Linked DNA regions of Astyanax mexicanus. The main gene of each other region encodes a partner of the protein of the gene in region 2 in a complex. Links are inferred from orthologs where the notes say so. Each region holds a gene or a part of one and is shown on either strand. Other genes may lie near its edges.

The links.
Region 1: smarca2 (region 2) and dpf3 share a complex: the UniProt entries of both Homo sapiens proteins name them as parts of the BAF complex. The link is inferred for Astyanax mexicanus from reciprocal best matches to the Homo sapiens genes SMARCA2 and DPF3.
Region 3: smarca2 (region 2) and phf10 share a complex: the UniProt entries of both Homo sapiens proteins name them as parts of the neural progenitors-specific chromatin remodeling complex. The link is inferred for Astyanax mexicanus from reciprocal best matches to the Homo sapiens genes SMARCA2 and PHF10.

Annotation. Positions count from the first base shown.
Region 1 is NC_064408.1:78,431,630-78,435,855, forward strand, and holds the start of dpf3 (zinc finger protein DPF3), read left to right. Parts: upstream 1-1,286; 5' UTR 1,287-1,360; coding exon 1,361-1,380; intron 1,381-2,068; coding exon 2,069-2,149; intron 2,150-4,226. UniProt on the Homo sapiens protein: Belongs to the neuron-specific chromatin remodeling complex (nBAF complex).
Region 2 is NC_064429.1:18,435,177-18,439,402, forward strand, and holds the start of smarca2 (probable global transcription activator SNF2L2), read right to left. Parts: upstream 2,519-4,226; 5' UTR 2,428-2,518; exon of another isoform or gene 2,393-2,427; intron 1-2,392. UniProt on the Homo sapiens protein: ATPase involved in transcriptional activation and repression of select genes by chromatin remodeling (alteration of DNA-nucleosome topology).
Region 3 is NC_064414.1:17,701,343-17,705,568, forward strand, and holds the start of phf10 (PHD finger protein 10), read left to right. Parts: upstream 1-1,370; 5' UTR 1,371-1,458; coding exon 1,459-1,494; intron 1,495-4,226. UniProt on the Homo sapiens protein: Involved in transcription activity regulation by chromatin remodeling. Belongs to the neural progenitors-specific chromatin remodeling complex (npBAF complex) and is required for the proliferation of neural progenitors.

The DNA.
Region 1 (4,226 bases), on a different chromosome or scaffold from region 2:
AAGAACAGCTACAAGCTCACACGTCCAGCCCGCTGACCATGAAGAAACATGGATAAGGCACGTCTGAGCATTAGCGAACTTAGTTAGCTACATTGAATAGGATAGATAGGTTAGCTAGTCAGTCAGCTAGCCTGCTAGCACCTAAACGACTACCACGTAGCTAGTGGTAGTACACGTGGCAGCCCATGTTTTTTAGCTTGGTTCCACAGATTCCGCACACTTTAAGCCTCACTTTAACTCTTTAACTCGCTGTTTTATTCCCGAGTGTGACTGTTTTCCACCAAACAACTTCTTCACCCGCTCACATAAACAAACACACACGGGTATTGTACTTCCTGCCTCGGACAGCGGCGTTTCCTCGTGTGGCTCAGCGAACACCCCGCCTACTAAGCGCTTATTGGTTGTTTCACCAAAAATATGTATAATTTAATCACGGGATTGGATATCTGAGATGTCAATCACAGCAGAGGACGGTGTAAAAGGGCCACAGACCGTTGGTAAAAAACAAAAGATTAAGTCGTTTATTTTCCAAAAAAATATGAAATGAGTTGATGGATAAGTTAATATAAGAGATATCATGTATGCACCAAAAAAACATGAAAAAAAAAAAAAAAATATATATATATATATATCTAGAGAGAGAATTTAATATATTCTTAAATTGATTTAATTATTTTTGTTTGTTTTAAAAATATGTAATGAAGTGTCTGCTGATAAGTTCAATCAAATGTTATTTTTTATTAATCTAATTATTTATCTCTTAAGTTGACAGTTTTAAGGTAGTCTGTTCACTTTATTGTAAATTATTTTAGTTTGTTTTAATTAAATCTTTTTTTTTTGTTTGTTTGTGTTTTAATCTATCTTGCATATCAATCACCCACTCAGTCAGCTTTCACACGGAAAAAAAAAATTAGGGAAACCCTCTTTTTAATGCATTTTTAATGCAGGGACTGATAAACAAATCAATAAAAAATATGGCATTTAAAAAAAATAAGATTTAAATAAAAATTATTAAAAATAAAATGATAAGTGAACAGGCTAACTTAAAGCAGTCAAATTAAGGGATACATAATTAGATTAATACAAAATAACATGCTTGACCATATCATGATACATTTTATCACATTTCTGTGAAACAAACAAAAAACATCTAATCAATTTAAGTATATTTTACATTATATTTATACGAACACATATAATATAGCTATATAAATGTATGTGCTTTTGTTACAGTTTTGACATATTTAAGCCACGCCCCTATCTTAAATTATTTTATTGTATTGGGCGTATCTGCTGATTCTTTTTCATAAGGGTCCCAAAGACGTCTGAGATTTTGAATACTGGGCTACAGCGTGGCAGGATGGCGACTCTCACTCGGACGTAAGTAATAAAATACAAAATGTATTTTATCGTTTTTTAAACGTTTGTATTTTAGTTAGGAGCGTATTATCTCCAGTTATTATCGTCCTGCCTGCGGTGGACAACGCCGTTTCCTCGTGTGGCTCAGCGAACGTCCCGCCTACTTAGCGTTAATTGGTTGGTTCACCAAAATATGTATCATTCCATCATACGATTGGTTTTGTGCGATGTCAATCACAGCATTGAACGGGACGAGAGGGACAATAACACGGAGCGCTTTTATATGTTGTAATTTACCTGTCGTGGACAGAGAGTAAAGACTATAGGTTAACTAACTTAATGTTAAATAAATTGATGCGGTAATGAAAACCTTTTTTAAAATAAAAAGGCAAACATGCATGAAAAATATGAACATTCAGCATATATACCGTGCAACATATGCATAAATATATGACTATATACCAGCAGACACTGCACTTCTCTAACTATATTTCTGTAAAAATATCGGGATATCTGATCAAAACGAGCTAAAAGGCGTTAAAAAATAAAGCGTGTATAAAAATATCACGTATCTGGAACGTAAAGATGTATGGGTTTTTGTTAGGGTTTTGACAGCTTCCCTAAGCCACGCCCACGTCTTAAATCCCTTTATTGTATTGGCCAAACTGCTGGACACTGAGGTCCGTATTGGTTGTTTTTTTTTCATAAGGGTCCCAAAGAAGTCTGAGATTTTGAATATTGGGTTACAGTGTGGCAAAATGGCGACTGTCATTCAGAATCCACTAAAAGCGTAAGTAGTAAAATGGATATATACATTTATGTATGTGTTGTGGTTTTGTAAATATGTGTGTGTGTGTGTTTCGGCGGGGGCGTGTGTATCGCAGTTACAGAGCCCGGTTATTGAGCTGCTGCTGAAGGAGCGGGTTTTTATCCCGCAGATTCGGAGCTGATGTTTGATTTGAGGGTCTGTGAGATGTGAGCAGTCTGCGCGCTGCTGCCCAGCACTAGTTTCAGTCTTCGTGTGAGTGTGAGTGTGCTTATGTGCTGCATGGTGATGTGCAGGTCGGTTAGACAGGGGGTTGATTGTAAGTTCCAGGATTTCTTACCTGCGTGTTTCTGCACTTCTTCTTCTTCTTCATTACAGCAGCGCTGTGACTGTAGTTAACTAGTTACTGGTCCTGTCTCACAGCCCGGCCGCCGTTCCTCATCAGCGGGTGTAGAATAAGTGAGATGTAGTAACAGAGGTGACCGGGAGCTCGTTTACTGGTCGCTCTATACAGCTCTGGAAAAAAATAAGATTGCACTTCAGTTTCTGAATCAGTTTCTCTGATTTTGCTATTTATAGATTTATGTTTGAGTAAAATGAACATTGTTGTTTTATTCTATAAACTGCGGACAGCATTTCTCCCAAATTCCAAAAAAAATATTGTCATTTAGAGCATTTATTTGCAAAAAATGAGAAATGGCCGAAACAACAAAAAAGATGCAGAGCTTTCAGATCTTAAATAATGCAAAGGAAACAAGTTCATATTTATAACGTTTTAAGAGTTCAGAAATCAATATTAGCTGGAACAACCCTGGTTTTTAATGACATTTTTATGCATCTTGGCATGTTCTCCTCCACCAGTCTTACACACTGCTTTTGGATAACTTTATGCCACTCCTGATGCAAAAAATCAAGCAGTTCAGCTTGGTTTGATGGCTTGTGATCATCTATCTTTCTCTTGATTATATTCCAGGTTATCAATTTGATAAAATCAAAGAAATTCATCCTTTTTCAGTGGTCCCTTATTTTCTTCCAGGGCTGTGTGTGTACAGTGTTGGTGTTTAAAGTTGTAGGAGGACGTGGGGAATGTTCTCAGGTCTGATATTAGTCCTGCTCTGATCAATGACATTTTTTTACAGGCTGAAAAACAGCCAAAAAGTATTTTTTATAAAGTGTTATATTAGTATAGTGGTATATCTTTATATAGTGTTATATTATTTTGGCTGAGTGAAACCTCAGTGGACTCAAGTGAGATAAACTAGCGTTAACCTGCACACAGTGGGAGTATCATACAAATATATTCATATTTGCAAAAGTTGAAAAGTAATTCAGTAACTGTTAATCACTGAACTGCATGATACTCTATTTAAAACTTGATCAAATAAAATGTGTGTACTAATGTGTGTAATAATTAAGTAATGTTGAAAAAGTAAGCAACTAAGCCATGGGTTAAGTGGCATTAAAAACGTATAGGATTTATATAAATAAATGCACTGAAACTGCATAAACTCTGAATAAAAGACAGGAAAACCCTAAAATAGAACTTAGGGGGAGTTACACATAATTAGAATAACTTTGTTAAATAATACATACCTAACTGCATATTTATATATTGGTATAAATGAAAATGTGTATGTTTCTGCAGTGTGAAGTTAAATACACCACATAGCAGTATCATGATTTCTGTTGTTGTCTGCAGAATGTATCCAGTATTACACTGGACTGCAGAAAATATAATTCACTAAAATGATTTATTATTAATCACTGAACCACATGGCTCCCTATAAAAAGTGTAAAATATCATGTGAGGTGCCTGTGGGTTAAACAACATATAAAACTATCCTTAGATCCCCTCAGGTTCCTCATGAGTTTTAACAGCCTACACCATTTAATTTAGTAAACTGCTCTTGGGTTCATTTTAAAATACTAATTCCAGGCTGTTTACCTTTTAATTAATGATTACACTGATTTTAATTTAGGTTGAATCTTAAAGAAATATATTTCTTAAGTAAACCATGTTGATCTGCCATGCTTTACAATGAACTCCTTGCCCAGTGTTATAGTGATTCTGTACAGCATATTTTTAAAATATACACCACTG
Region 2 (4,226 bases):
AAATGACAATCTGACACATGTCTCTTTAGACGACCTTCACCTCAAATCCACTGCTGAATTAGTAATGGTCAAGTAACTCACAATTCCCTCATTTTCCCTCGTTTTTTTATGTAAGAAGAGCTTATTTTGGATATAATCCAATAGAAAAAACAGTTTATTAAGCTGTTGTAGAAGTGGCAGAAAATGTTTTCCCTTTAAAATGTATTTTAAAAGTGGAAAACAATTTACCTATTTTTTTCAACAGTGGCAAATTCAGTTGTAAAAAGTAGAAATCCACGCTTGTATTTTATTTCTGAATCAGAATTTTCCTAAAGCAATACACAGAAAACCCACAATTAGTTTGAACTTAAACAAATTAGGTCTGTTTTATGTAAAATTGGATATTTCAAACATCATTCAACTATTTTAAATTAGGTTTTGTGGGCACATATATGTTTAAATGGAGATTTTGAGACAGAGCTGAATCTTAGAGTTGAAGTTTAGTCTGTTGCCACTGGCAGCTTTTTTTATTGGCTTTTGGCACAATCTATTTGCATACTGGGTTTGTCCCCCAAATTCTGACACTCACCATCAGTGCATAGCGATTCCCCCCAAGCTACCTTAGGTAACTTTGTGTGGGCTGTGTGCTATATTCTTCATCTTATTTTCTACGAGTATTTCAAGTCTGTATTCTATTTAAATGAAATCAAAAATAATACTAAATACAAATCAGTTTTTATTGCCCTAACCATAACATTAAAGTAAAATAATTATTATTCAAAGCAATTGATAAAATATTAATAAAAAAAATTATGTTCCTACAATTTAGGCATAACAACTAAATTCTATATTATAAAAGTGGTCTATTCTAACAAAAAATTAAAACATCTATCTAAATTTCTAGAGCAGTGTAATAACCTATAGAGACCTAGCTTTACATTGTGGTCTTAAACATAGCATATAAATAAATATACAGCTCTGAAAAAATAAGAAACCAATTAAAAATGATGAGTTTCTTTGATTTTACCAAATTGAAAATAATATTTAATATAATCAAAAGGACAAGAGGATAACCAGGGTTATTCCACTTAATGTTGATATCTGAACTCGTATAACTTTATGAATATGAACTTGTTTTCTTTGCATTATTTGAGGTCTGAAAGCTCTGCATGTTTTTCTGTTATTTCAGCCATTTTTCCTTTTCTGCAAATAAATGCTCTAAATGACAATATTTTTTAATTAGGAATTTGCTATATATATATATATATATATATATATATATATATATATATATATATATATATATATAGCTAAATCAGAGAAACTGATTCAGAAACTGAAGTGGTCTCTCATTTTTTCCATGATAATGTATCAACAGTGGCATATCCAAGTCAAAAAGTACACATTTACCACAGTAATTTATTTCTGCATATAAATTACCTTATATAGGCAGTAGATAAACTCTATAGGCTTCAAATAAACAAATATGACATATTCAGGTCAAAAAAAGTAAAAATCCAGCACAGGATTTTATTTCTGAATCTATATTTGAATCTAAATTATCGTAAAGCAGTAGATACGCTGTAGTTACAGGCCTAAGGTGTGTGGCCTCAAATAAACAAATTAGGAAAATTCAGTTCAAAAAGTAAAAGTCCACTCCGGTATTTCGTTTCAGCTGACTGGGCGGACCGGCTGCAGCGGAGACAGTGAGCAGCCCGGGCGGTTGGAAGGAAAACCTGCGGTGGATTTTTACTGTATTGACCTGAATTTGCCATATTTGAACTGTCACCTCTGCAAATAACCAAAAATCAGGGAAACTTTGTGAGACATACGTGACTAAATTAGATTTTTTAAATATATTTTTCAGCAGTAATTAAGTTTCAGCTCAGTAAGGAGCAGACTATTAGCCTGAAGTTGTTATTTTGGGACAGCAGCGCCGTTGCAGTTCCGTTAAATCTGGCAGAGAAAAGTTTCTGAGACTTCGCCATGACAGTTCTGTCTGCAGCAGAAGAGCCTGAAACAGGGCTGCGTTCAGTTACTGCTTGCTGTCAGTCAGCGAGTGAGCTAAATAACTATTTATCCCAGCTAACTATTAGTCTGTATTCTTCTCAAACTTCTCGCCGACGCGCAGCTCAGGTAAGAAGGCTGGGCTAGCAAGCCTAGATACCCGTCTACAGCCAGCCAGCCGCCCGCTCGCAGCTAGCGCTATATTACCTATACACCAGAAGTACCCAGCTTGTTAGCAGCATGCTAGCAGGTTAGCCAGCTAGCCCCGTCTGTACAGTTATCTAAGCTATGCCACAGCGAGCCCTAACAGCCCCCGAGACCTCTCCACAGCCCCAAACCTGACCCCTATTCCAACTAACCAGTATTTATTCACATTTTTAAGGTAAACAGTATAAGACTCGGTTACCTTACAGGCGACACAAATCGATATTTTGGACCTACAGCATTATTTCGCCTTCAAAATATGACTGCCATTAGTGGATCCCCTCCCCCTCTGTGTTTTTTTCGCTGACATCTTCAAGTTAAGCGAAGGCTCGTTTTTGATTGGTCGATACGAGCCGAAATATTACCCGCTTTGCAGCCTGATTGGTCGAGGCGGACGTCAATCAAGCGGTCCTGTATTTTTGTGGCGGGGCTTAGTGATCACTTTCACTATGCTGCGCCGAACGTGCTGGAACCGTGGCGCTACTGGAGTGTGTGTGTGTGTGAGGGTGTGAGGGTGTGTGAGGGTGGGAGTGGGAGTGCTGTTGAACTTGAACTTGACTCATTATAAATGCTAAAATATAAAAAAGTCCTCATACATATACAAAATAATCCTCATATGCGTATTATTTTGTATTTTAGCTTTTATAGTCAAATTCAAGTATATATATATACCACTTAAAAATTATGAATTTCTTTGATTTTACCTAATTGAAAACCTCTGGAATATAATAAAGAGGAAGATGGATGATCACAAGCCATCAAACCAAGCTGAACATAAGCTGTCATAAAGTTTTCCAAAAGCAGTGTGTAAGACTGGTGGAGGAGAACATGCCAAGATGCATGAAAACTGTGATTAAAAGATATCTAGAGTGTGTGTGTGTGGAAATGAGGAAATAGTCCAGTAGGTAACAGAATAACTATGAGTAAGTGCAGGTAAGGAATGAGTTGATTGGGGAGTACAAGGGGCAGAATGCTGTATAATATATATATATATATATATATATATATATATATATATATATATATATATATACGTGTATATATATATATATATATATATATATATACGTATATATATATACGTATATATATATATATATATACGTATATATATATACGTATATATATATATATATATATATATATATATATATATATATATATATATATATATATATACACGTATATATATATACGTATATATATATATATATATATATATATATATATATATATATATATATATATATATATATAGTGTGTAATATAATATATAATATGGGAAGTCTGATAGATGCAGTGTAAAGTTTATGAACATAAACTTGTTTTCTTTGCATCATTTAAGGTCTGAAAGCTCTGCATCTTGTTTGTTATTTCATCCATTTCTCATTTTCTGCAAATAAATGCTGTAAATGACAATATTTTTATTTGGAATTTGGGAGAAATATTGTCCGTAGTTTATAGAATCAAACAACAATGTTCATTTTACTCAAACATATACCTATAAATAGCAAAATCAGAGAAACTGATTCAGAAACTGAAGTGGTCTCGTGAATTTTTTCAGATCTGTATGTCCCACACTAATTAACTAATTAAAGCAAGAGGCCTGAAGTTAAAGTCAGTCAGTGAGCTGACTCTTATAAATGCGCTGAGCTGCAGTAGCGCGTCTCAGCCGCACGGGGGAGACAGAGACCTACACATCTGTACAGCAATACAGCTGCTGCTGCTGTGAACTGATGGCCTGTTTATGTATGTTGTAAGATGCTGATATGGTCAGTTATGGAAATCCAGTTTTTATAATGCTGTTTAAATGTGCAAAATGATATAAATCAAGCACGAATAAGAAAAAGCCAAAATAGCTTAATTTACAAATCTAAATTTGTTGAAAAAAAAAATCAGATGACAACATATAGGACTTTATGAATACAGCAATATTACTCAAGAAAACCAGTAACTAGTGATAATGATATGTTAAAAATAGCCCTAAATATATAAATAAATAAATGAATAGACTTGCTGTTAGTTCAAATACATGC
Region 3 (4,226 bases), on a different chromosome or scaffold from region 2:
ACTAACACACATTTAAACTAGCTAACTAATACACACATATAACCTAGCTAACTAACACACATATAACCTAGCTAACTAACACACACGCATTTAACTTGCTAACACACATATAACCTAGCTAACTAACCCACACATAAAAGTTAACTTAGCTAGCAAACGAACACACATAACCTAGCTAACTAACACACATTTAAACTAGCTAACTAATACACACATAACCTAGTTAACTTAACCAGTTAACTAACACACACATAACCTAGTTAACTTAGCCAGTTAACTAACACACACATAACCTAGCTAACTTAACCAGTTAACTAACACACACATAACCTAGTTAACTTAGCCAGTTAACTAACACACACATAACCTAGTTAACTTAGCCAGTTAACTAACACACACATAACCTAGTTAACTTAGCCAGTTAACTAACACACATATAACCTAGCTAACTTAGACAGTTAACTAACACAAACATAACCTAGTTAACTTAGCCAGTTAACTAACACACACATAACCTAGTTAACTTAGCCAGTTAACTAACACACACATAACCTAGCTAACTTAGCTGGCTAACGCTAACTACACACACAACTTAGCTAACTTAGCTAGCTAACACATATCCTAAAGCTGGTTAACAACCCACAAAGAGTCCTCCTCTGATCCGGGGGTAAAATCAGCTGGAAAAGATCTCAATATCTTGATTACTAGTTTATTTTCAATCAAATACAGAAATATGAAAGCAGCAGAGTTTCTCTTAATCCTCCTCCAGCAGCAGCAGCAGCAGCAGCAGCACAGCAGAGAATTTACGGTGAATTTACACTGCTCCGACGCGACAACGCACAGCGACGGATCCCATTCATTTTCAATGGGAAGCGCCGCCTCCGTCAGACGCAGTCGCGCGGTGCATCATGGGTCCGACGCGTCGAGAGCGGGGGATGCGATGCGATGAAAAGTTGAGCCGAGCTGAACTTTATGCAAATGAGTCCGTCCAACGCAATGCGTCTATCCAATCAGAGAGCAGGTGTTGGCCTGTAACGCGTCCTCAGCGCAGCGCATGAAAACATTTTAGTTCCGCTTTCAAGCGTCCAGAGAAGCCTGGAAGAGAAGTTTCAGGCTTCCCTGTTCTTTATAAAATCCCTGCTGATTCACAGGGACTCTGTCAGCGAGGAGAAAGGCTGCTGTGATTGTTGGAGTCTCTGGTGGGTTTTTAAAATATTAATATGTAATTTAATTGGAAAAGTTTGCTTTTTTCAGCTTATATACTGCTCACTAGACAGTGTAATGAAGCTCATTCAAACATTTATATCTATAAAGACACATTTATATTTATTAAGTATTGGAAATAATAATATCTTATATAAAATGCATTTCCCATTTATTAAAACGATTTAATTGGACGACGCAGGGAAAGCCTTTGTCACGCCCACATGCGACCGGTTGGAGGGGGGTAGTGCGACCATGTGCGTTTTCGCGTCGGAGCAGTGTAAATTCACCGTTACACGAAGGACCTGGAGAGCTGCGTCTGCTGTGAAATTACCGTAATTACCCTAATAGTGCGCAGTTAAATAAATCTCTGTGAGACTGCAAACGCTGAAGATACACTTTTATAAGGCTGAAACCTAGTATTAAAGCAATGATTGTTACATTATTACAGTCTTACAGTCATTCTTAGAGTCTTAGATGCCTTCTGGAGAACTTTCATCAATGTCTTCTATGCAATAATATCACGTTATAATGTTGTTTTTTTCTTCCAAAAATGATGGTTAAGCAGAGTAATACACAAAGTAGTATTTTACTATATGTTGCTAATATTTGGAAGGAACTGAGGATAATAAGGTAATTAAGGTTACCACTACTACAAATGGTGTCACTTGCTTAATTCAAATATGCCTTCAATTAATATGCATTTAACTCAAATATGCCTGATTTAGATCTATAGTTTTCTATAGTTAATGTTGATTTGAGCAGTAATTAATGAATAGTTATTATAAAGGAGACATAATTAGTAAGTAGTTCTCCAGGAGATATGTAAGTCTCAGTAATTATTGTGGAGTTAATAGTGAACTACTATAATCATTAGTTCAGTACTATCTACTGAGTAATTATTCAGTACTCCCTGGTAGTTAATAGAAAATATTTAGATGTTAATGCAGCACTATTAACTAGTTACTGCTTAGTTCCTGCTTAGTTACCTATTAACTATGGAACAGTATTATAAAGTGTTACCGCAGGAATGTATAAACAAACACATTTGACAACAGCAATCATCACATAATTATTAGTGGGACATTCCAGGATTTTGGTACATTTCAGGGGTGGTCACTTCTGAAAAATTGATCTTCAATTTGATCAATTTTAGTCATATATTTATTAAATTAAATACAGGTAAAAGACTATCTGTAACACCAGACAGATAGGGGTGATGCCAGATACAGCCAGATAACAGATCGAACAGAACTCACAGGAGACGTAGTTGTGAGAACAGTCCAAGATCCGAAGCCAGAGAGACAGTCTGATAATACAACAAATCCGATAAGGGCAAAGACAAAAGGCAAAATCTGTAATACAGGAAAAAGGGTCATAACAAAAGGGCAGACAGAAAAATGTTTGGAAAAATGCTCAGTACGCAACATGAGTCGACAATACCTCGCAAAGAACATCAGCTAACAGAACCCTATATATACAAAACCTAGAATTACTATGAACCGGAACAACTTAGAACACAGGTGACTCTGAACGGGGGAGTGTAATGCGATTGGATGAAGGTGAGCGGCTGACAGTGACGTCATCACCAATGGGTTCATGGGAAATGGAGTTCGGGAGTGTGAAAGGAGAGCCTAGAGACGTGACACTATCAAAAAGTTAGATTCGTCAAGCTCAGGTATCAAAGCAGTTTTTAAATGAGATTATGCAATATATTTGGTAACTTACAGTAACAGGGTTGCGAGTAACAGGGTTGCAAATCTTGTGGTTTACCCCAGGAACAGATGCTAACTGTAAAATGTAGCTATGTATACAAGATCAAGGACAAACATGGTTATATAAGTATATAAAGAAAAATTTGACTCTACTCATTATTAGTCTTACAATATGAGTAACAGGGTTGCGTTCACACACAACTTGGACAAACATATTTGGAAAAAAAAAAGCTTGAAAATTGTTAGAGCACTTACTCTTGATCTTGCCCATAGACTGTGTATAGCTGGACAGAGCATCGTCTCTCAAAAGTGAAGCCACCACAGGTCGAGCGCCCCTGCTGTTTGGTTTCAGAAAGCTGTGTAACACCACCCATCCCCATGTAATTCTACCTCCATTATTTAAATGCAGCAGCTAGTGTAACCTCTGCTTATATTGTCAAATTTTTATATCCCCACAGAATTCATTTTTTAAAACGTTATTCAGCTCTATTCAAGAAGGTGTGGTTATTGTAAAAGGGCTGGCTATGGGCGGGGCCAATAACAGACCGTCAGCTCTGCTCCGCTCTACAGCCTGTGACCGCGAGGCAGCCCTCAGGGGCGGGGTTATTTAAATGAGCAGGCTGTCTCTCCACAGTCTTTCTCCCTCCTCTGGTCTCTACTGCGCAGAATCGGGTGTCAGGATCGCCAACATGGCGGAAGATTTTGGCTTCATTTTCATTGAATGAATGGGAACGGCGACACTTATAACAAGTACATTTTACACCAAAAATTTTGGGTATGTACATTTGAAATTTAAGTGGTGGGACAGGAAATGTACCAAAATCCTGGAATGTCCCTAATAAGAGACACTGTGCAATTCCATGTCCTGATTTATCAACACAGCAAATGGAAAAAAAAGAACTAACAATTTTGGTTATTTTGTCAGAATAACAAATATGACTTTAAAATATGTGCTTATTATTATATTCTATTCTATTTCTACTTATGTTGATCTAAATGACATCAACACAGTAGCACAGATAGCACCTTCTATCTAGAAGACTTATAGCAGTAAAGAATAACCCTTGTAAACTTACTCCATTTCATGTGTTTGAACATAACTAAACTGAGCACAGTCAAGAAAGAAACATTAGGCCCAATTTTATTCATCTTTAGGGCGTGTCAGTGTGTTTTTGCTATCGCAACAACGGCAAAAGTACACCTTGTGCAGCTCAAAACCCAGCGCCTGTGTGCGTCTTTAATAAGAGGGGATTTAAGCATGTTGGGCAAGCGCCAATAAATTTACTGCCAAGATAGCAATGAACGTCT